2 linked regions of the Kluyveromyces lactis genome follow. The protein of the gene in region 1 purifies or fractionates together with the protein of each later gene. This does not show direct contact. Links are inferred from orthologs where the notes say so. Each region holds a gene or a part of one and is shown on either strand. Other genes may lie near its edges.

What was found.
Region 2: the proteins of NUM1 (region 1) and DBP10 purify together in Saccharomyces cerevisiae (affinity purification with mass spectrometry; 3 studies listed by BioGRID, with this or other methods). This does not show direct contact. The link is inferred for Kluyveromyces lactis from reciprocal best matches to the Saccharomyces cerevisiae genes NUM1 and DBP10.

The regions. Positions count from the first base shown.
Region 1 is NC_006040.1:1,397,840-1,414,585, forward strand, and holds NUM1 (Num1p), read left to right. Parts: upstream 1-2,073; coding exon 2,074-9,489; downstream 9,490-16,746. Other genes in the region: SLX4 (Slx4p), read left to right, coding at 1-1,617; KLLA0_D16588g (M28 family metallopeptidase), read left to right, coding at 9,982-12,264; putative mRNA-binding protein CTH1, read right to left, coding at 12,608-13,540; GIR2 (Gir2p), read left to right, coding at 14,551-15,354; ENT5 (Ent5p), read right to left, coding at 15,668-16,746. UniProt on the Saccharomyces cerevisiae protein: Controls nuclear migration. NUM1 specifically controls the interaction of the bud neck cytoskeleton with the pre-divisional G2 nucleus. Functions in dynein-anchoring.
Region 2 is NC_006042.1:2,294,830-2,299,037, reverse strand, and holds the start of DBP10 (ATP-dependent RNA helicase DBP10), read left to right. Parts: upstream 1-1,408; coding exon 1,409-4,208. Other genes in the region: SLM3 (tRNA-5-taurinomethyluridine 2-sulfurtransferase), read right to left, coding at 1-814. UniProt on the Saccharomyces cerevisiae protein: ATP-binding RNA helicase involved in the biogenesis of 60S ribosomal subunits and is required for the normal formation of 25S and 5.8S rRNAs.

The sequences.
Region 1 (16,746 bases):
ATTTCGATTCTTTCGGGTAAATCTGCCAAGGTTAAAAAATTGGTGTCGAAATTGGACTCGGAGGCATCTGCAGATGCGGAAAGTTTACAGGATTCTCATCCGACACAATTTGCGCCCTTTAATGAATCAGAATGGCAACATATCGTTGGCCTCCTACGAGAAAAATTACCAAAAGTTTCTAGAAGCGAGCTAAACTCGGTACAGCAATACGTATACGGTGCTGATGAACAGCACAATCTTTGGAAAGCGTCTCAGTTATCCCCAGAAAAGCAGATATCTTCTCAGTGCTCAGATGGAGAGTCTGAGACTATTCTTCCAAGTTTAACGTTGGATAACAATGCGCCTGTGTATACGTTGTCTCAACTTGTCGAAGGAGAAAGCAGTAATAACCGGTGCTCAACGGAAGATGGATTGAGGTTCAAACCGATCTCGAACCCAAGCTCTGTCATCGAACAGGAACTACCAATTAGCATAGACGTGCCTTCATCTGAGACGGATGTACCGTCTCAGATAGCCGATTCATGCGATAGCGGGTCTATCATTAGCTTTGAAGAGCTGAGTTTCATGATTCAAGACAAGAACAAGGCAGACGTCGATTACGATATACCATGCTATTTACCACCAGATTCCAAGACTTTACCCACTGGTGAGAAAACGAAAAGGGAATATTCCAGGGCAAACATAAACGATCAACTGATAAACATATCACAAACGTCTTACGATGTAGTGTCCTCCATCGTATCTCCAATGAAGGCCCAAAGAACCGGGACTATTCAGGTGCCCGCAACGAGAACTACTACCTTTCAAGACCAACAACAACAGAATCAGCAACAAGCTTCAAAACCTGCTAATGTCGTCAAGATATATGTTGATAGCAATAGGGACTCTAATGACGTTTTCGCCAGTGTTAAGGGGGAGGTAGATACGCAAGAGCAAGAAAGTTTGTCTACTTTAACTACTTCTATGTTGCATGATGATAATAACGAAATTGTTATAGATAGCGAAGATGAAAGAGGTAGCTATTCCATTATGGAGGTTCATGATGCTCCTCAAACTCATCTTGGCCAGTTCCCCTCTCTACGGAAATCTCAATCTCAAAAATTGAAAACCCCAGTTTCAGCCACAGATTCTCTAGATTCACAACTTCAGCCTGCCCTACTCACAACACAAAATGCATCTCCGAACACCGCGAAGCTACGAAGGTCTTTCAAGGTGATCGGATTAAAACCTTGTAAGAACAAAGTTCAGATGTTGCAAGTATGGGAGACATTGGAATCCAAATTCCCGGGGTCCTCAGATGAGGATAGATCAATTCAACTCAAGCAATTCCTCACGGACCTTATAGTACAAAATCGTGATGAATCTGCATTATTAATGGAACAAATATACACTTTTGAGCCTATTCGTTACGAACAGTTGAAAGAATGGCTAGTATCCTTGAACTCATTCACTGAACTAATCGACGATAGTTTTATCAAAAATTGGGCAGATTTAAACGGGATTGTATTCAGAAATGATACTGAGAACCCCTTGTTGTCACAAAGCCAATCTCAATCTCAATCACGGTTGCTCTCACAATCATTATCCCAACTGCAGTCGCCATCATTGTCTCCATAGTATGTTAGCATCCATGTGTATAATTATCAGCATTTTTTTTTCAATAGAAGCCCAAATACATGGCGTCAAAGGAACATAATAGACTCTCAATGAATACATTGGTCTGACTGCCTATTCAAAACATATACCGAATGTGAGCAAGGCTCTATCAAAGCAAGACAAGGCGAGTCAATAGCTGCATTGTTTATTGAGAAATCCGGGTAACGTTATGCAGTCAAAACAGCTCATCAAAAATTGTCAGTTTCTTTCAGATCGAACGATTCTATAAACAAAACAAACAAAACATAATCGAAAAGGAAATTGGAATCTACGCTCAGTAATCTTTGAAGCATATAGCACTGAAGTCCTTAAACTTTAGCACTGTCCTTCGGTTTTTATTCAGAACGGCAACAATTGAGTGATTTCGGGCAATTTGGAGAAGTGCGCCCCAGAAGCGACAGTAAAATCCCAGGAAATATGTCAGGAAAGGGATCTTCGCAGTCTGATAAACGGTCCAGCCGAGATGAATTGAAGTTTAAATTGAACAGGTTGCAGGAACAACAAAAACATCAAGAAGCTCTTTCTCATGTTAATTCTGAGGACCCCAGTTTACCATTTTCCAATGTCTTGAGTAAGAGAGATAATAGGGCTTCGTTACCTGTTTTTGCAGGAAGCTCTGCTCATGCAGGTGTCATAAATGCCAATTCAGGCGAGGATGTGAACTTTGTTGTTGGTTTAAGCGAGAACTTACTCGTCGAATGCAGACGCTTACAAGCACAGAACGAACGTAAGTCCGCCAAATTATCCTCTTTGCAGGCCGACTATGAAAAGTTGAAAATAAATCTTGAGCGGTTAACAGTGAAGCATGAATCTATGACCAAAAATGAGGATTCTTTAAAGGACACTAATTGGCGACAAGAAATGAAATTGCAAAGTTTATCTAAGGAGTTCCAAGAGTTGACTGAAAACTTCAATAAAAATAAAAGTGAACTTGAAAGGCAGATTGAGCTTTCTAAGGATATGAAAACTGAACTGGAGGAAAGTTCTTTGGAACGTATGGGATTAAAGTCCGAATTGGCTTCTAGTAAAAAAGTTCATTCGAATGAAATTAAGGAGCTGAAAAGACATGTGGAAGAGTTGAACAATGAGAATGATCAGCTGCATAATAAAGTTAACATGTTGAGTGAGAAGGTCACTTCATTAACAAAAGAAATAGAAGAGAGGAAAGGCACCTCTGCACAGGGCAAAGACGATACTGCGATTGCTACATCAGAACAAAAACCATCACCTGCCGTAAAACTGATCGGAGGAGGTATGGAGGGTTCCGATGATAGTTCCTTGAAGAAACCGATTGATTCAAATCTAGAAAATCAGACCTTAAAAGCCAACTTAAATCATGCTAATCAGTTAATTGTAAGATTAAAGCAGAAGCTCAACAGAGTCAAGGCTGACAGCACCATGAACTCTCCATTACCTTCAAAGTCTCCCAGAGGTAAGAATAAAGGCGGTTTATCTTTTATAGGATCTGCTTCTACTCCTCAAAAGTCCAATACTTCCAGCTTCAATTACGAAGTTACAGATAATGAATCAGGTGACTGGAATGTAATACCATCGCCTGGCAAGTCAAGTAATGCTGATATCAGTGATATTGACGCTGAAAGTTTTGTTTCGGAAACTATGGACTATGTGAGAGACCCCATTTCGGAGGGCCCCTTTGAACATGATGAAGACTTTATTAATGAACTTGACTATGAAGATATAGAAAGATACGCAAAAACGCACAATTTCGCACTTGTCCCAATTACTGAACTAGATGAATTAAAAAAATCGAAAACTCCTAGCACAATCTCAGATGACACATTATCAAAGCATATTCTTTCCAGACTTTCTACGCTAGGGTATTTTGATACTTCTAGTTTAACAAATAATGAGAAAGTGGATATAGAAGAGATTTTTAAGCATCCCACTGAGGATTATCTAGTTTCGAATCTGAAGAGGCTCAACCTCACTGCTATCAAAGAAGAAGAGTACCAATCATTGAATGATCCATCGATGGAAACTTTGAAAAAATCATTAGAAAGTAAAGACTACACTGCGTTAAGTAAAAAGGACTATGAGAATTTGCTTCATGCTTCCGAAAGTCCGTCCCTGTCATATCTCGAGAGTAAGGCTCACAAGCTTCAAAAAACCATTATCGACATTGATGAGTATGAAAATTTGAGGAAACCGGATGTTGAGGCATTAACAAACCATGCCCAGTCCAGAGGACTTCAGGTATTGAAACAGTCACAATTGACTGATATAAAAGCTAAATTGGAAAGCCCGTCTGAAGAATATTTGCAGGCCAAAGCAGATGCAAAAGGATTAACTGTACTAACGAAGAGTAAATTGTCCCAACTCACTGAACCAAGTATCGAAGACGTCCAACAGTTAGCTACCACTCACGACCATATTTTAATATCTAACAAAGATTACCATGAGCTACTGAATCCTTCTATCGATAAAGTGGAAAAAATTGCTGCAAATCACAAACTCTCGGTAATACCTGATAAGGATCTAATTGATCTGAAATGCAAAGCTGAAAGTCCAGATATTAATAGGTTGAAAGAATGTGCTAAGTCAAAAGATCATGTTCTTCTTCCAAATGAGGAGCACACCAGACTAATGCATGGAAACACTCATCCTTCAATTGAAGCTATTCAATCATCGCTTTCTAGTGACGATATGGAGTCTTTATTGCTGTGGTTGGCGGAAAGAAAGTCCATAACACCTATACGCACCACTGAGTATCACAAATTAACAGAACTAGCTAATACTCCTCCACTGGATCATCTAAAGAAAGCTGCCAAAGCTTTAGATTACACCTTGCTCAGTCAAGCTGAAATAGAGAACCTAAGAAACTTAGCTCAAAATCCTCCCTTTGAACACCTGAAAGATAAACTACTAGCTCTCAATTATACTATTATCAAACAGGAGGACCTTCATAAGTTGAAGGAACAGCTAGAATCTCCAACTTTGAACTTTTTATCGGAAAAGGCAGCAGAGAAAAACTATGATATAATCCTAAAGACTGACCACTCAGAGCTTTTGAGAAAGTCATCAGACCCGACCATCCAAGAAATGCAGCACTTGGCAGCTGTAACTGGCCACTTGATTGTATCGCAGAGTGACTACGATTATTTGAATAAGACCGTAAATGAACCATCAAGAAACTTCATCATTGAAAAGGCAAAGGATATCGGTATGGTTACTATCGAACAGAAAGAGTATGAAAAGTTAGTTCATAAGGGCAGTGATAAAACAATGTTACTCGAATCTATTAAGAATTTTGGATTTGTTCCAGTCACTGCGCCAGATTTCAATTCCTTTAAACAAAAGTCAATCGACAATGTTGACATCGACCAATTAACTAACAGATTGGAAACATTGGGTTACGTTGCAGTTTCAAAAGAAGGATACTCAAAATTAATGGCTCCCGTTATAGATAAAGTAACTAAAGATGAAACTTTTAAACTCTGTGACAAATACAATCTAAAGCCTGTTGCTGCTGAAGCATACCAGAAATTACAGGAAAGCTCGAAAGTTGCACTACTTTCAGAGGATGAATTGATTAAGAAAGTCAAGGAACATGGTCATGTGGTCTTAGATAGTAAGTCTTACGAAGATTTGATAAACAAATCAAACAATCCACAACTAAAAGATTTATCCAGACACCTCTCAACCTATAAAATGGTTCCCGTACAGCTGAACGAATATGAAAATCTAATGGCTATGAAAGACTCTCCCTCATTGACGTTTTTGAAGGAGAAGGCTAAACTTCATCATCAAACTATGTTACCATTCGATGAACTGGAGGGCTTGAAATCGAAATTAGAGCACCCATCTAGAGAATATTTAGAAAACATGGCTGGAACTCTTGGACTCGCCCTGTTACCAATTGAATCTATTGAAGAGCTCAAGACCTCATATGAAAATCCTTCTATTGCACACTTATCAAATAGGGCAAGCAATATTGGCAAACGTTTGATCGATCAACAGAAATATGACAATTTGCAAAGAAAAACAAACGAACCTACGGTGAAAGAAGTGGAACAACTGGCTGCTAGAATTGAATGCAAGGTTCTACCAACTGTCGAGTACGAAGAGCTACAGCTCGCAATCAATAACCCTTCAATCAAAAGATCAAAGGAGGTTTGCGACATCAATGGGTATAGCGTAGTTCCCACGAAAAAGTTCAATGAACTTCAACTTAACTTGACTAGTCCATCTTTAGAATTCTTGCAAGAAAAAGCGCAGCAACACAAACAAGTTTTACTACCGATTGAAGAACATAATAAGTTACAAATGTCAGCAGTTACTGACGAGCAGGGTTTACAGAGAAGTGCGAGAAGTCTCGGACTTGTAGTTGTTCCGGAAGCTGATTATGATTCTTTGTCCAATCCTTCCCTGCACATCCTACAAAAGCAAATAACAGAAAAAGGTCATGTGGTACTTGATGCTGAGACCTACAAAAGTCTCAATTCCTCAAATGTTGATTCAATTTCCAAACAGGAGGTGATAGGTCTGTGTTCAAAGTTCGATTTGATTCCTCTACCTGAAAAACACTATAAGGAGTTAACAGTTCCTTCGATAGAGAAAGTAAAACAGCTAGTCGAACCATTAGCGCTAACTGTTATTGACCGTGAGGAATTGGCTTTCTTGAAGACCCAAGTTGATAATCCATCTGAAGAATCAGTTGTAGCGACCGCGCCAAAATACGGGTACAAGCTCCTGGGTGACAAGGAATATGAGAATTTACAAAACGAGGCCAAAAAACTCTCTTCTCTCACCAAAATTGATATTGAAAAACTTGCAGCGAAATTGGGTCTTGTTGTTCTTAGTGAAGAATCATACGATGCTCTTATTGAAAAACTGAAAAAAGAGGTTGAAGTTTCTTCAATGTCACCAAGATCGAAAGTCGCAGCAAGCAAGCTATATTTCGAAAATGTTATCAAGAAAGAGAATTCAAATAAAGAGGTGGTATTAGAATCAGGAAAGTTATTAGGATTTGTAAGACTTTCAAACGATGAGTACAAAAGGCTTCTCGAGAATCAACAAAAGCACGAATTAACAAAGACGGATATTTATAATGGGGCAAAAGCCTTTGATCTCACTGTTCTTCCCTCCGAAGAATATAATAACTTATTACAAAGAAAGGCGCATAGTGATAATATTACATATGACGATTTACAGTTGTATGCTTCACGTTTTGCTTTGAAGTTGGTCCCTGTTAATTTCACAGATGAAGAACTCGAGAAACATAATAATCAACGTGTCGGCGATTATGGCTCTAGGCCTGCATTAAATCTCCATCCCTCTGTGAACCATTCCACTGTTAGTTTCAATTCTGTAAGCACAGGTGACACTGATTATTATGATGCGCTACAAAGTAGCAGCTCCTTCAACCTCAGAAACAGCCCTTCGAAGTCAAGCATGCATACATCTTCCACTCATTATACCGATGCCAATGATTTCCTTGGTTCTGATAATGATAATGTTTCACTGGCATCAACGATAAAAGATAATGAACCGACATTGGAGGACTTGCAAAGACATGCAGAAGTTTTAGGTTACAACCTTATTGAAAAGGATATCGATTGTCATCAAAATCATTACTCTACATCATTGACACCTGAAGATTTGACAAAGGATATCATTTACTCTGCTGCACCGCAATTCGGATTATCTGTGGTGCCAACTGAGGAATTTATAGAGATGGAGAAACTTATCACTTCAGAGAGGTTAACACCAGATTCTATTCGTGAGAGTGCGAAGAAGTATGGCTTAATAGTTTTAACTGAAGCTGAACATTCTCAACTTGTTAAAAAATCTACTCAATTGATCGCGCCAGCTCCAATAATCTCAACAGAAACAATTAAACAGAAAGCTAGAGAACATGGCCTCGTACCAGTAGCAACAAATGACTACCTGAAGCTTATCAAACCTGATAGTGCTGATGATATCAAGGAAAAAGCGTCAAAGCTGGGTATTGTCACATTAGCCGAAGAAGACTACAAGGAAATTAAAAAGCCTTTGACTCGCGAGCTACTGGAAGCAAGGGCCAAAGAACTAGAACTCGTCACGCTACCAGTTTTAGAATACAGTGCCCTCAAAAAACCGTTGACAGTTACAGACATAAAACAGAAATGTGAAGATTGGGGTTTAGTTCCTATAGAAAAAGACATATATGAAGACCTTTTGAACAAGTTCAACGATGACTCTGTCAGTGAATGGGCGAAAGAACATGGGAAAGTTATTGTCTCGAAAGACGAATATGACCATCTGTTGGAAGTCGAGGATCAAGCGGCTTCTGTTGCAATGACTAGGGATGAGTTGATAGAAAGAGCCCATGAGCTCAACATTATACCGATTGATGCTGACAAATTTGAAGAAATACAACGCGAATTAGCTTCCTCCGGCAGAAACAGTATGACGGAGGACGACGTTGTTTTGAAAGCTAAAGAATTAGGATTTGTGCCTATCCCAGTGTCCCAGTATGATCCAAATACCGCGATTGGTATTTCTAAAGACGATCTCATGATACGCGCACGAGATCTTGGTCTTGTTCCCATTCCTATTGAGCAGTTTGAACAGATTAAGAAAGAATTGGAGACGCCAACCTTGACCAGGGAACAAATAGTTGAGCATGCCGCTGATTTCAATTTGATAGCTTTAGATTTAACGGAGTACAAACGTTTGAAGAAGGGTTCGTATTTGATGGATAACGACAATGACACTGATTCTGAAGAAGATGAAGAGGAAGAAGAAGACGCAGAGGTCGTTGACTCTGAGATAAAACAATTAAACAAAGCTGCTAAGAGATTTGGCTTACTATGTATTCCAGAAAGCGCATTTGTCGCCACATCCAATGCAAATACTCCAGATGTCCATAATGTTGTTGTGTTGCCGATCAAATATTATAATTCTCTATTACATCAAGAGTCTGAAAATTGGGCGAAGATTACTGATGAGAATTTGCAAGCGGAAGCCAAGAAGCGTGGTTTCCAAGTTGTCGTTAATTTGAGAAAGGACTTTGGCGATGGCTTTACTCAGGGGCATAGAAGAAATTCTTCATTGGCGACTCGGTCTGTCATTTCAGAGGATGCTAGAAGATCCATGTCAGAAGCTGCTGCTAATGCTGCAATGAGCGAAATGGAGCAACAGACCAGATCCAGAGCCCCATCAAGATCTTCTTCAATCAAACGTCCGTCGCCTTCACTTCAAACTAATCAAGCATCACTGCTTACACACAGCGAGTCTATGGCTACTGGTTTATCTTTAGCTACAATGGCGTCCCTCAGCGCTCCAAGTATCATCCCAGCATTGACCCAAACTATGATTGGTGAATACTTGCACAAGTACTATCGTCGTTTAGGTGGATCTCTGTTCCAATCTTCACGTCATGAAAGATACTTCTGGGTTCATCCTTACACTTTAACCTTGTATTGGTCTACGTCCAATCCTGTGCTTGAGAACCCAGGGAACAACAAAACCAGAGCGGCAGCTATTATGGGTGTAGAGAGCGTCGACGATCCATGTCCTTTCCCCGCTGGTTTGTACCAAAAAAGTATCATCGTGAAAACAGAAGGCCGTGATATTAAGTTGACATGTGCTACCAGACAAAGACATAATATTTGGTTCAATTCTCTACGTTACCTACTTCAAAGAAATCTTGACGGGATTAACTTAGATGACATGCTTAGAGACGACAACAATGTTGATTCAAATACTATCTACCAGTTGCCAGGAGAAAGTTCTCAAACTGCAACCAGAAGGTTATCTTCAACAAGAAGGGCTAGTTCTTCGTCTTACGTGAAAAGATCAACTTCGAAATGGTCTTTGCGTGCAAATTGATACACTGCTAACAGATACGTTTCAATTTCGATTCCTATATTAGGTATATAAGATAGTGTAGTTTGAGCAGCCTAGGATTATCGATTGGCTAAAGAAGACAATTTAATTCCTTTCATTCTATTATCGATCATTGAACTGATCTGCAAACAAGAAAATCTCGGTGATACTATCCTAATAAGGTATGTCCTCAACGAGAAGTAGAAACATGGAAAAAAATGGTCTCAACAAACTTCAATACCAATGATATGCCAAAGTACGACAGAATACCTTATCTAATCCACCCTAAGTATTTACATTGCCCTTTTGCTTCTTGATATTGCTTGTCTTTGCAGCCAAATCCCGAAATTATAGCAAAACCCTAAAAAACAAACGGCGTTACTCAGCAACCATGTTGAATGGTTACGGCTTACATATAAGAAGAAGAAGGTAATTTGGAAACTATTGCCAGAGCCAGCACCTAAGGAATCGCATCACCACTTAGACCTTCAAAAAATGACGGCCAAGAGTCCCGAGGAGTATCCTGCGGACATCAAGCATGATTTGAACGATATTGAAGCTCAAAAGTCTGTCCCTTCAAAAAGAACATGGATTAAGAAAGCTCTTTCATTATCATTCCAAGTGGGTCTTTTCTGCTACCTTTTGGTTAATATTTTAAGCTATAGCTTTTCTTCATCTTCTCATAGGGATAGGTCTCAGGCAACGGCCACTGAGCTTGCTTATTTGAAGACATTAGACGACAGCAATCTTGCGGGAAACTGGTCAGAGAAATTGACTTCAGTTCCTCACTTAGCTGGTAAAGGTATCGAGTTAGTGAATTGGACTGCATCCAAGTTCGAAGAGTATGGATTAAAGACAGAAGTGGAAGCTTTTGATATTTACATGAACTATCCAGTGGATAATGGTTTAACTTTATTGCAAGAGGATGAACCAGTTTTCAAGGCTAATTTGACAGAAGACCATTTACCAGAAGATTCAACTACTGGGGGTGATGATTTGGTTCCAGCTTTCCATGGGTACTCTGCATCTGGTAATGTGACTGCTGAATTCGTTTATGTCAATTACGGCTCCAAGGAAGATTTTGAATTGTTGGAAGAGCATGGTGTTCCATTAAAGGGCAAGATCGCAATCGTAAGGTATGGCAGAATTTTCCGTGGTCTAAAGGTCAAGTTCGCCCAAGACGCTGGGTGTGTTGGTGTCTTGATTTATTCCGACCCTGGTGATGACTTCTTCCAAGAGGCTAAAGGTGATAAACCATATCCAAAGGGACCAGCTAGAAACCCATCTTCATTACAGCGTGGATCTGTACAATTCCTGTCTCAGTTCCCAGGTGATCCAACTACTCCAGGTAGACCATCTCAGGGTGATGATGTTGTCCGTGATGATCCTTACAAATCGATACCAAAGATCCCCTCATTGCCCATCTCTTTCAAAGAAGTTAAGCCTATATTAGAGAAATTAAACGGTCATGGTGTGAAAGGTTCTTCAATTGGCGGTGACCACTGGGTTGGGAACCTTCCTGGCTTCGAATACTGGACTGGTCCGAACTCAAAATACTCCTTAAATTTGTACAATGAACAAAAGTATGATATCGTTCCGATTCACAATGTCTATGGTATATTAGAAGGTTATGATTCGAAAAGTGGATATATTCTTGTTGGTAACCATAGAGATGCATGGATTAAAGGTGGTGCTTCTGACCCCAACAGTGGTACTGCTGCTATGCTTGAAATGGCCAGGTCTCTTCATGAATTGACAAAGAATGGCTGGAAACCAAGAAGGACTATTAAGTTTGCCTCATGGGATGGTGAAGAGTACGCTTTGCTTGGGTCCACTGAATTTGGGGAAAAAAATGCCAATGAATTGAAGAAGAACTTACTTGCTTATTTGAATGTAGACGTGGCCGTGGGTGGTAGACAACTAAAGATAGCTTCATCGCCATTCTTAAATAAGGCTATCAAGGAAGCTTTGCCACTAATTGAATATCCATTAGAAGAAAATGTCACACTTCATGATCATTTTTTTAACCACACTAACATTGGCATCTTAGGTTCTGGATCCGATTACACTGTTTTCTTGGAACATTTGGGTATCGCCTCTTTAGATCTTGGATTTAGCGCTACCGCAAAAGATCCTGTCTATCACTATCATTCGAATTATGATTCGTTCCATTGGATGGCTACCATGCAAGATCCAGGATTCAAGCTACACAATGCTGTCGCCAAACTATTTGGTACCATTGCCTTGAGATTATCCGAAGATAAGATAATAAATTCCAAGGTCTCGGACTACTCAACTGAGTTAACTAAATACTACAAACACATCCAAGAAAGCGTTCCAGAACAGTGGTTAAATATTACTAACCACAGAGGTACCCCATTGAGTAAGCTGATCCATAAAACAAGCAAGAAATTGGACAAACTTGTATCATCTGCCGACTATTTTGATGAGTACTTAACTGATCTAAACAAACAATGGGAAGATAAGAACTCTCTACCATGGTGGAGGCGCATAAAGTTGCATTTCCAGATTGTACACGTGAATTTCAAATTGTTCTACCTTGAGAGAAACTTCCTACACGAAGAAGGTTTGAAAGGCAGACCATGGTTCAAACACGTGGTCTTTGCATCTGGTAAGAATACTGGTTATGAAGGGTTTGCCTTACCAGGTTTGAAGGAAGCCTTAGACGACAAAGATGTCAAGGATTTCATTCATTGGAACAAAATATTCCTGCACACGATCAAGAGGTTAGCTCATGAATTCGACCTCAAGAAATAAGTAGATACTGTTTCTGAATCACATGAAAATACGCTTACAAGACCTATGCTGGTGCATAGGCACTATTGCTCTTAATAATTAAAACTGCAGTGAAGCGCTGAAATTAAGACATTACTTGTGTACGCATTGAAGAAGGGAAGACGTGCTAACGTATGAGGAAAATAGTTAAAATAATAAATAAATAATAATCAAATTAAATAACCAGTATTCAAAGTGAGATAAAAATACGGGGCGACCGCCGGTTAGTTTAACGTTTGCGAGAGGATAAAGTTGAAATGCCAGTTACATGATTCTTTGTTGCATCAAGCAACAAAAAGTGAAGCAAAGACTGATAAAAGAGAAATCACCAAGTCATCTTTTGCAATGCCTTAACATCAGCATGTAAGTTCTTTCTGATAGGTTCATCTTCAATTTTCTTAATCATATTAACTTTCATGTAGACTTGAATATCCTCATCGTCACCGTGTTTGAAGCAACAACGCTTACCGTAACGACAGTAGCCGTATTTTTGCCAGTTAACACATGGCTTTGTCCTAAAGTTGTTTGAACGCTCCTTTATTTTCAACTCGTGCAAACCATGAGCAAATTGACACTTGTTGCCGTACTTACAGGTTCCCTTGGTAGCGAACGATTCACAAAGCTCAGTCTTGTACAATTGCTTGTTAACCCTTTCTGGCTGCTGCTGCTGCTGTTGTTGCTGTTGTTGCTGAGAGACCTGAGGGTGATTATGACCACAATTTTCAGTGTGAACATGTTCAGTTGGAGCCTGCGCTTGAGCATGGACCACTGGTTCAGCTGGAGTTTCTTGGATTATGCGTAAGTTCTCGCTGGTCAATGGCATAATACCGTTGGCTGGACGGTATTGAGAGTTAATTTCGACTTCCAACGAAGGTTCCTTAGGATGGACCTTTTGAGGCCATGGGTCCTGGTACTCAAAAATAGGTCTTTGGAACCACTGCTGCTGCTGCTGCTGATATTGCTGAGCAACTTGAGATTGGGCTAATTCCTTGTTTTGAGATTGAGGAACAGTACCGAAAGAAGAACGCGAGAAAAGGTTTGGTAACTGCTGGTACTGGAACTGAGGCTGCAATTGTTGTTGCTGTTGCTTCGACAATCCATCGTCACCCGCATCATCATTCAACAGAGTCTTGATGTAGTACTCTTCGATCTCGCGAATTCTAGCATCGTAATCTTCATTTTCGTTCGAAAACACAGACGAAGTCTGTGTTGAACGAGACGAAATGCTAGCACTATGGTTGTAATTGGTATAATTCATTGATGATAATATATATACTTAGATGGCAGAATTCTTGTCTTCGAGCAATATTTCGTCAATTAATACCACCAAAAGTGTTGCTAAAATGCCTTACTTTTTAAACTACAAAGGAGCCAAGATAACAAGAATGGTAATCCAATTATAACTCTCCAAGCGATGTGACAATACCTAGGTTATATATATATATATATACGTCTGTAAACCTTTAGTGATACCTGTCGTTGTTAAGTCTGACTGACACCCAGAAACTCACAAGAATGGGAAATCTGGGTGCTCTTAAATATGACAACCCTCAGAATTGCCCGTACAAATGCAGGTCATTGAACCATATTAAAAGGCTTTTTGCTCAGTGAAAGCAGGCCAGACGAGTCTTAATCCATTTTTCAAGGTGCACCGTGCGAAGTGACTGCACCTCGAAACTGGAATTTTTCCGTATCGAAATCCGGAACGGCTGTGTTGAGGATATTACCCGGACACAGAAGAATGCGACACCCGGAAAACGGAAGTTTTGAGGAGAAAATGTAATGCACGTGATTAACAATCAAAGGTTTCTGGCTGATTTCCTCTAGTTTCTCCACTAGTTTTGGGTGTGTGTATGAAAAATGAGATAGGACTGGAACCGGTATATTTTATTTCTTTTTGTTCCTAGAGGGGTCTTGTGGGTTTTCTAGGAGACAGAGAGGCTCACCTCTTTTGGCTGCGCCAAGCATTTATTTCCGCCAGTTTCCTTTAGGTAGTAATCGGGTTTTTGCATGACTGAGTTTTTAATCCACGTGATAGAAAATGAAGAGGGTACATTCTGTATCCGGGTAATGTTGTATCTGTTTTAGCACACTTCTCACTCTGTCAGATTTTTCAAGCATCATCATCATTATCATTGTCAAGTTGAAATTTGTACGGCCAGTCCAGTTATATGCAGAGGAAGCGTGTTACGAAATGTACTGAATACACATTTTGAGAGTTTACCTAATTGTTTCTATACGCCCTAACCCCTTCCAGTTAACTACACAATGGACTATAAAGAAGAACAGACGCAGGAACTTGAGATTCTAGAGTCGATCTATCCAGATGAATTTACTGTTCTGAACTCTGAGTACCCAGAGATCGAATTACAAATTGATATCAAATTGGACCCCGTACCCTTGGATGATTCTTCATACACCGTGGATTCGATAACTAATGATCATATTTTGCATACTATTTTTACTCTACCAGAAAATTACCCCGATGAAGCACCTCTAATTAAGATTATGCCGGAAGAAGTGCCAAAATTCGACAGAGATGATGAAGATGTGGATGACGAGGACGATGAAGATAAGGACGAAATTGAATACGATGACCATGGTAACCCGATAGTATCAAAATTCGAAAATATACCTGATAAAATCCATTTCGATGAATTTATACCGCAATGTATCGAGAAATTGAATGAACAAATCCAAGAAGATATGCTTCTTGGGATGCAGATGTGCTTCGCTTTGATTTCCAACATCAAAGACTACGCCGAACAGTGGTTCCAAGAAAAGCTAAGTGAACTGGAGAAAGAACATGATAGGTTGCTGCTGGAACGTGAAAAGGAGGAACAGAAAAAGTTCAGAGGTACTAAAGTGACAAGAGAATCATACATCGAATGGAGAGCCAAGTTTAGGAAAGAACTGGGGTTGGACGAAAGAGACGCCCAGAGACGTCTTGCTGCCCACCAGGGGAGACTTTCTGGTAGACAGATCTTCGAACAAGGACTTGCTGGCGATGAGGATTTGGATGAGGAGAATGAATCTTTGATCTCAGAAGGTGTAAAAGCCATAGCAGTTTAAATTCTCCATATTTTTATAACACTTCTAATGATTGATTTCATAATATGGCATCACTTTAAACCTTAGACTAAGCATAGTTAATACACCTTCTCATTAATGAAGGTAAAAGTCTCACGGTGCAAGGTCAGGTAATTTTTTTCATATATTTACAGTATATAGATAAGAAAATTATGATAATAATAATAGTAGGGGTTGTGAGTTCTAGTTGTAAGAATATAAAATATGACAAGTCCCACTAGCCATGTGATAGTTAATGCTATTCAATCGAGGGAGCCTCTTGATTCGAATTGTTATGTTGATATACTTGGGAGTTTCATATTTGGTTTTTGGACATAGAGAATAGATCAGCAAAAGCATCGGATTTCGTGCTGGCGTTGTTATTGTTGGTCGCGGCTGGCGTCGTGGTGCTGCTAGATCCACCGAAATCTAGAAGATCATTCAATGTAGCATTATTATTAGAGGTTTTATTATTATTATTATTATTATTATTATCGTTACCAAAACTGTTAAAGTTACCAGATGCAGGTGGAACTGGACTTTTCTCACTTTGAAAATCACCAAATTCATCATCGTCATCATCTTCACCATCAACACCGAAGCTCTCGAATACGTTAGCATTATTGCTATTGTTGATTGAAGGAGAAGCAGGAGCTGGTGCATCATCGAAGTCCAATAGATCGATTTCTGGTTCCTGCGCGGAGACTTTTCTTTGATGTTCACTGTTACGGATTCTTTCTCGTAATAGCTCTCTTCTCTGTCTTCTCTGTTCGTCCACAGCAGACGATCTACGATCTCTGTGAGCCGTTGGAGTAGGTTCATATTCGAAGTCGTCCGAGTCATCAATGGTAGAAGACGATCCGGCGAAAGAGTCTGCATTGATGGAAATATCGTTATACAGAGATTCTGAGCGAGATCCGGCAGATCCGGCAACGATTTTTTGTGTATTTTCCGCGGTCTTGGAACGCTCGCGTTTCAAGTAAGAAGTATCCTCTATCAACTGGATGATATGTTCACATTTCTTCTTGATACCACGCTCATGTAATTCCATCTTCCCATCACTACTGAAATCAACACGATACTGCATCGTTTCCTTGGTTAAGATATGTTTATGTGCTTGTAAACAGGATAGCACTTGATCAGTCTCTTTGCCCCTATCTGACCTCATCAATAAATACTCTAACAAGACCAAACATTTCAACACAACTCTCCATTCGTTACCGTAATTCACGTACTGCTTTCTGGCCTTTTCGTACATGTTCTTAGGTCTTTTAGCCATATGATCGACTAATCTTTTCAAAGTATATTCAGTCATCAAAAACATTGAAACCTCATAACGATGTCTCATCACTTTAGCCAAATGTTTTGGAGTTGGACCCCAGGAATCGGTATTCG
Region 2 (4,208 bases), on another chromosome or scaffold:
CCCACACCGTCTTCTTACCAGTCAGCTCATCGATGGTAATGATGTTTCCTAGTTCCATAGGTAGATATTCTTTTAGGAAATTCTTAAACTTCCCATGCTGTGAGTTGTTCACAAAACATATACCCTGAGAGTCGGGTTTTGTGGCAGTGTGTAAATCTACTTCTTTGGCCATCTCTCTAACTTCCGGTTTCGTCAAGTGACCAATTGGTAAAATCATTTGATTTAAAGAAGGAACAGAAACTTGTGATAAATAATAACTTTGATCCTTCTGTTGATACAATCCGCGCATCAAGTGTGGTTCAGATCTCTCTGGACCACTATCTCTTCGTAGTATTCGAGCATAATGTCCCATCACCAACCAGTAGTTGTTCTTACCGAACTTCACATCCAGATGATCCATCAACTTTCCGAATTTAACAAACTGATTGCAACCGATGTCAGGATTTGGTGTATAGCCCATACTATATTGTTCTAACATAGGCGCGAACACATTTAGCCAATAATCTTTCTCAAAATTCACAAACTCCACTGGGATGTTCAAATGTTTCGCTACTTTTTCTGCATCCTTCCATTCTTTCTCATAACATGGATCCTCCTCTGGTCTAGTCAATGATTGATCTTTGCCCCAATTTTGCATATATACTCCATGAACGTTCGGGTAAGCTGCGAATAATGCAGCACATACAGAAGAATCTACTCCACCAGACATTCCTACCACAATATTATCAAATTTAGATGGCATGGATTGGACATGATATCCAGGCAACCGTCTTTGTTTGCATAATTCTAAGAATCTTGAAGTGATTTTCGACATTATTCCTCGCAACTTCTGTCCGTCTGCTATATAAAGTGGTGCATCTCCTTCGGGACACTTTTATGGTGCTTTAACAAGATATAGCTGGTACTTATTTCAGTAAACCTTGAGAAGTTATAGTTGTGATCTTCATGTACTTTTTTTTGTCAGATACTGAATTGATTGGCTTGCATAGAAAAAAAAAAACCAAGATAATGTACAGAGGCGAAATTCAGGGAAACAAGTTGAAATAGTTATAGTAAAATTTTAGAGTATGACGTTCTATTTACTTGAGTTTGGTAATATTCGTGACACATAATGTTGAAGTTTTTGTTTTAGGTCACTTGATCTTCTTGGTTTCACACAAAGCGTCAGTTTGATGTTTAATTCTGTTTATGCCGGTCTTGAAAACTATTTCTTTTTCCTTATGAAAATTTTGAAAATACATCACTTTCCAAATAAGAGATGCGATGAGATGAGATGAGATGAGATAGTAACTCATTAATATCAGTAGTGCTAAATATTCTTTTATATCGTATTGATTATAAGGCCAATCATTGTTTGCCATAAATCAACTGTTAGATATCGAACTCAGGTTAATCAAATTTAACAGTAATGGTTGATTCTAGCAAAAGAGCTCTCCCAGCAGAAGATTACTCCTCCGAAGATGAGGATGCTTTCGACATTGCTGGTGATATTGCTTTAAATGCTGATAGTGAAGATAGTGACATTTCTGATGATGATAATGACAATATTGGTTTCCAAGCTGAAGTTCAAGATGTTATCGAGTTTTCTAGTGATGAGGAAGAGAAAGAGAAGAAACCAAAGAAACAAAACAAGAAAGCCAAAGTCAAGGCAGGTCCCATTGTGGACAGTAAGTTCCCAAGTCTTGAGCTTTCGGACGACGAAAAGAAGGCTACGAATGAATCGGATGATGACTTAAACGATTATTTCAACACTACCGCTGATGCTGCGGCTAAACATAAGAAAGGTTCGTTTGCAAGTTTCGGTCTCTCAAAACTAGTATTGATTAATATCTCGAAGAAAGGTTTCAGGCAACCTACACCAATTCAAAGGAAAACCATTCCCCTTATTTTACAAAAGCGTGATATTGTCGGTATGGCACGTACCGGTTCAGGTAAGACTGCTGCTTTTGTGCTTCCTATGATAGAAAAATTAAAGACCCATTCGGCCAAGATTGGTGTTAGAGCCGTTATTTTATCACCATCAAGAGAATTGGCCATTCAAACTCATAGAGTTTTCAAAGAGTTTTCGAAAGGCTCGGATTTACGTTCTATTTTGTTAACAGGTGGTGACTCTTTAGAAGACCAATTCGGTATGATGATGGGGAATCCTGACGTCGTCATTGCTACGCCAGGTAGATTCTTGCATTTAAAAGTTGAAATGAACTTGGATTTGAAATCAGTCGAATATGTTGTATTTGATGAAGCTGATAGATTATTCGAAATGGGTTTCCAGGAACAACTGAATGAACTGCTTGTGGCATTCCCAACTAATAGACAAACATTATTGTTTTCGGCAACATTGCCATCATCATTGGTTGATTTTGCTAAGGCAGGCTTGTCAAACCCAGTATTGGTTAGACTTGATGCTGAAACGAAGATATCAGAAAATTTGGAGATGTTATTTATATCTATAAAAAAGGATGAACGTGAAGCCAATCTATTATATCTGTTACAAGAAGCTATCAAGATGCCTGTTGCCACGGAGTCCCAAATAAAGAAGCTCAAACAGCAGAATGATGCGGATTCTGACAGTGATGACAGCGAAGATGAAAAGAAAAAGAAGGCAAAGAAGGCTAAAAAATCCAAAAGGCGCTTACCGAATGCGAACGAAATGCCATCCGAAAAGGCAACAATCGTTTTCGTTCCAACAAGACATCATGTCGAATACGTCACACAGTTATTGAAGAACTGTGGATACCTAGTATCATATATTTATGGTGCTTTGAATCAACATGCCCGTAAGCAACAGCTCTATAATTTTAGAGCTGGTTTAACATCTATCTTGGTTGTGACAGATGTGGCAGCCAGAGGTGTTGACATTCCTTTGTTAGCGAATGTGATTAATTACTCTTTGCCAGGTTCTTCAAAAATTTTCATTCATCGTGTAGGTAGAACGGCCAGAGCTGGTAATAGAGGTTGGGCCTTTTCGATTGTCTCTGAAAATGAACTACCTTATCTCTTGGATCTAGAATTATTCTTGGGTAAGAAGATCCTTTTAACACCCATGTATGAATCGTCGTGCCAGATACTCAGAAAGAAGGCAGAATCTGAGGGTAATAATAATTTCACCGATCCTAAGGTTTCTTACACCACAAGAATGGTCCTTGGTGCTTGTCCACGTTCTGAGATTGATGGTATGGGTGACCTTTATAGCAATATGATCAAATCTGACTTTGAGTTAAATACTGTGAAAGGTGTTGCCCTGAAAGCCGAAAAACTTTACTTTAGAACCAGGACACCAGCGTCTGCTGAATCCATGAAAAGGTCAAAGGAAATTCTCAGATCAGGATGGGACGAACAGAATATATACTTCGGTAAGAACGCCGAAAAAGAGAAATTGGATTTCTTAGCTAAGTTGCAACACAGAAATAACAAGGAAACTGTATTCGAGTTCGCAAGGAATCCAGACGATGAAATGTCTGTGTTAATGAAGAGAAGGAGGAGACAAATAGCTCCAATTCAAAGGAAGGCAAAAGAAAGACAAGAACTTCTGGAAAAAGAGAGAATGATTGGTTTGAGGCATAGTATAGAAGATGAAATTTTGAAAGGTGAAGACAACGAAGTTGGTTACTCAGTGCCTGATGAGGTATTGAAAGAATTTGAAGATGCCGATGTCTTGTTAGAAGAGCAAGAAAATATTAAGAAGAAGCAGAAGAAAACTTTCAGAGATCCAACTTTTTATCTATCACATTTCGCACCAACTAGTGACATTCAAGATAAACAATTACAGATATCATCTGGTTTCACAAATGATGCTTCCAATGCTGCATTTGATCTAGCCAACGATGACAAGGTACAAGTTCACAAGCAAACAGCTACGGTTAAGTGGGACAAGAAGCGTAAGAAATATGTGAACACTCAAGGTTTGGACAACAAAAAGTACATCATCGGAGAAAGTGGTCAAAAGATTCCTGCAAGTTTCAGATCCGGAAAATTCCAAGATTGGTCTAAGGCAAGAAAAATTGCTCCACTCAAAGTTGGTGCAAGAGAATCCACTATTCCATCGAATCTATTGGCTGATCCGACTTCTCCATCGGAGCGTACGGTTGGCGGTAAATTCAAACACAAGACTCAAAAAGCTCCTAAATTGCCTGATAAACATAGAGACGATTACGCTTTCCAAAAGAAAAAAGTGGAAGCTGCTTTGGAAAGAGGTGTTAGAGTTAAGG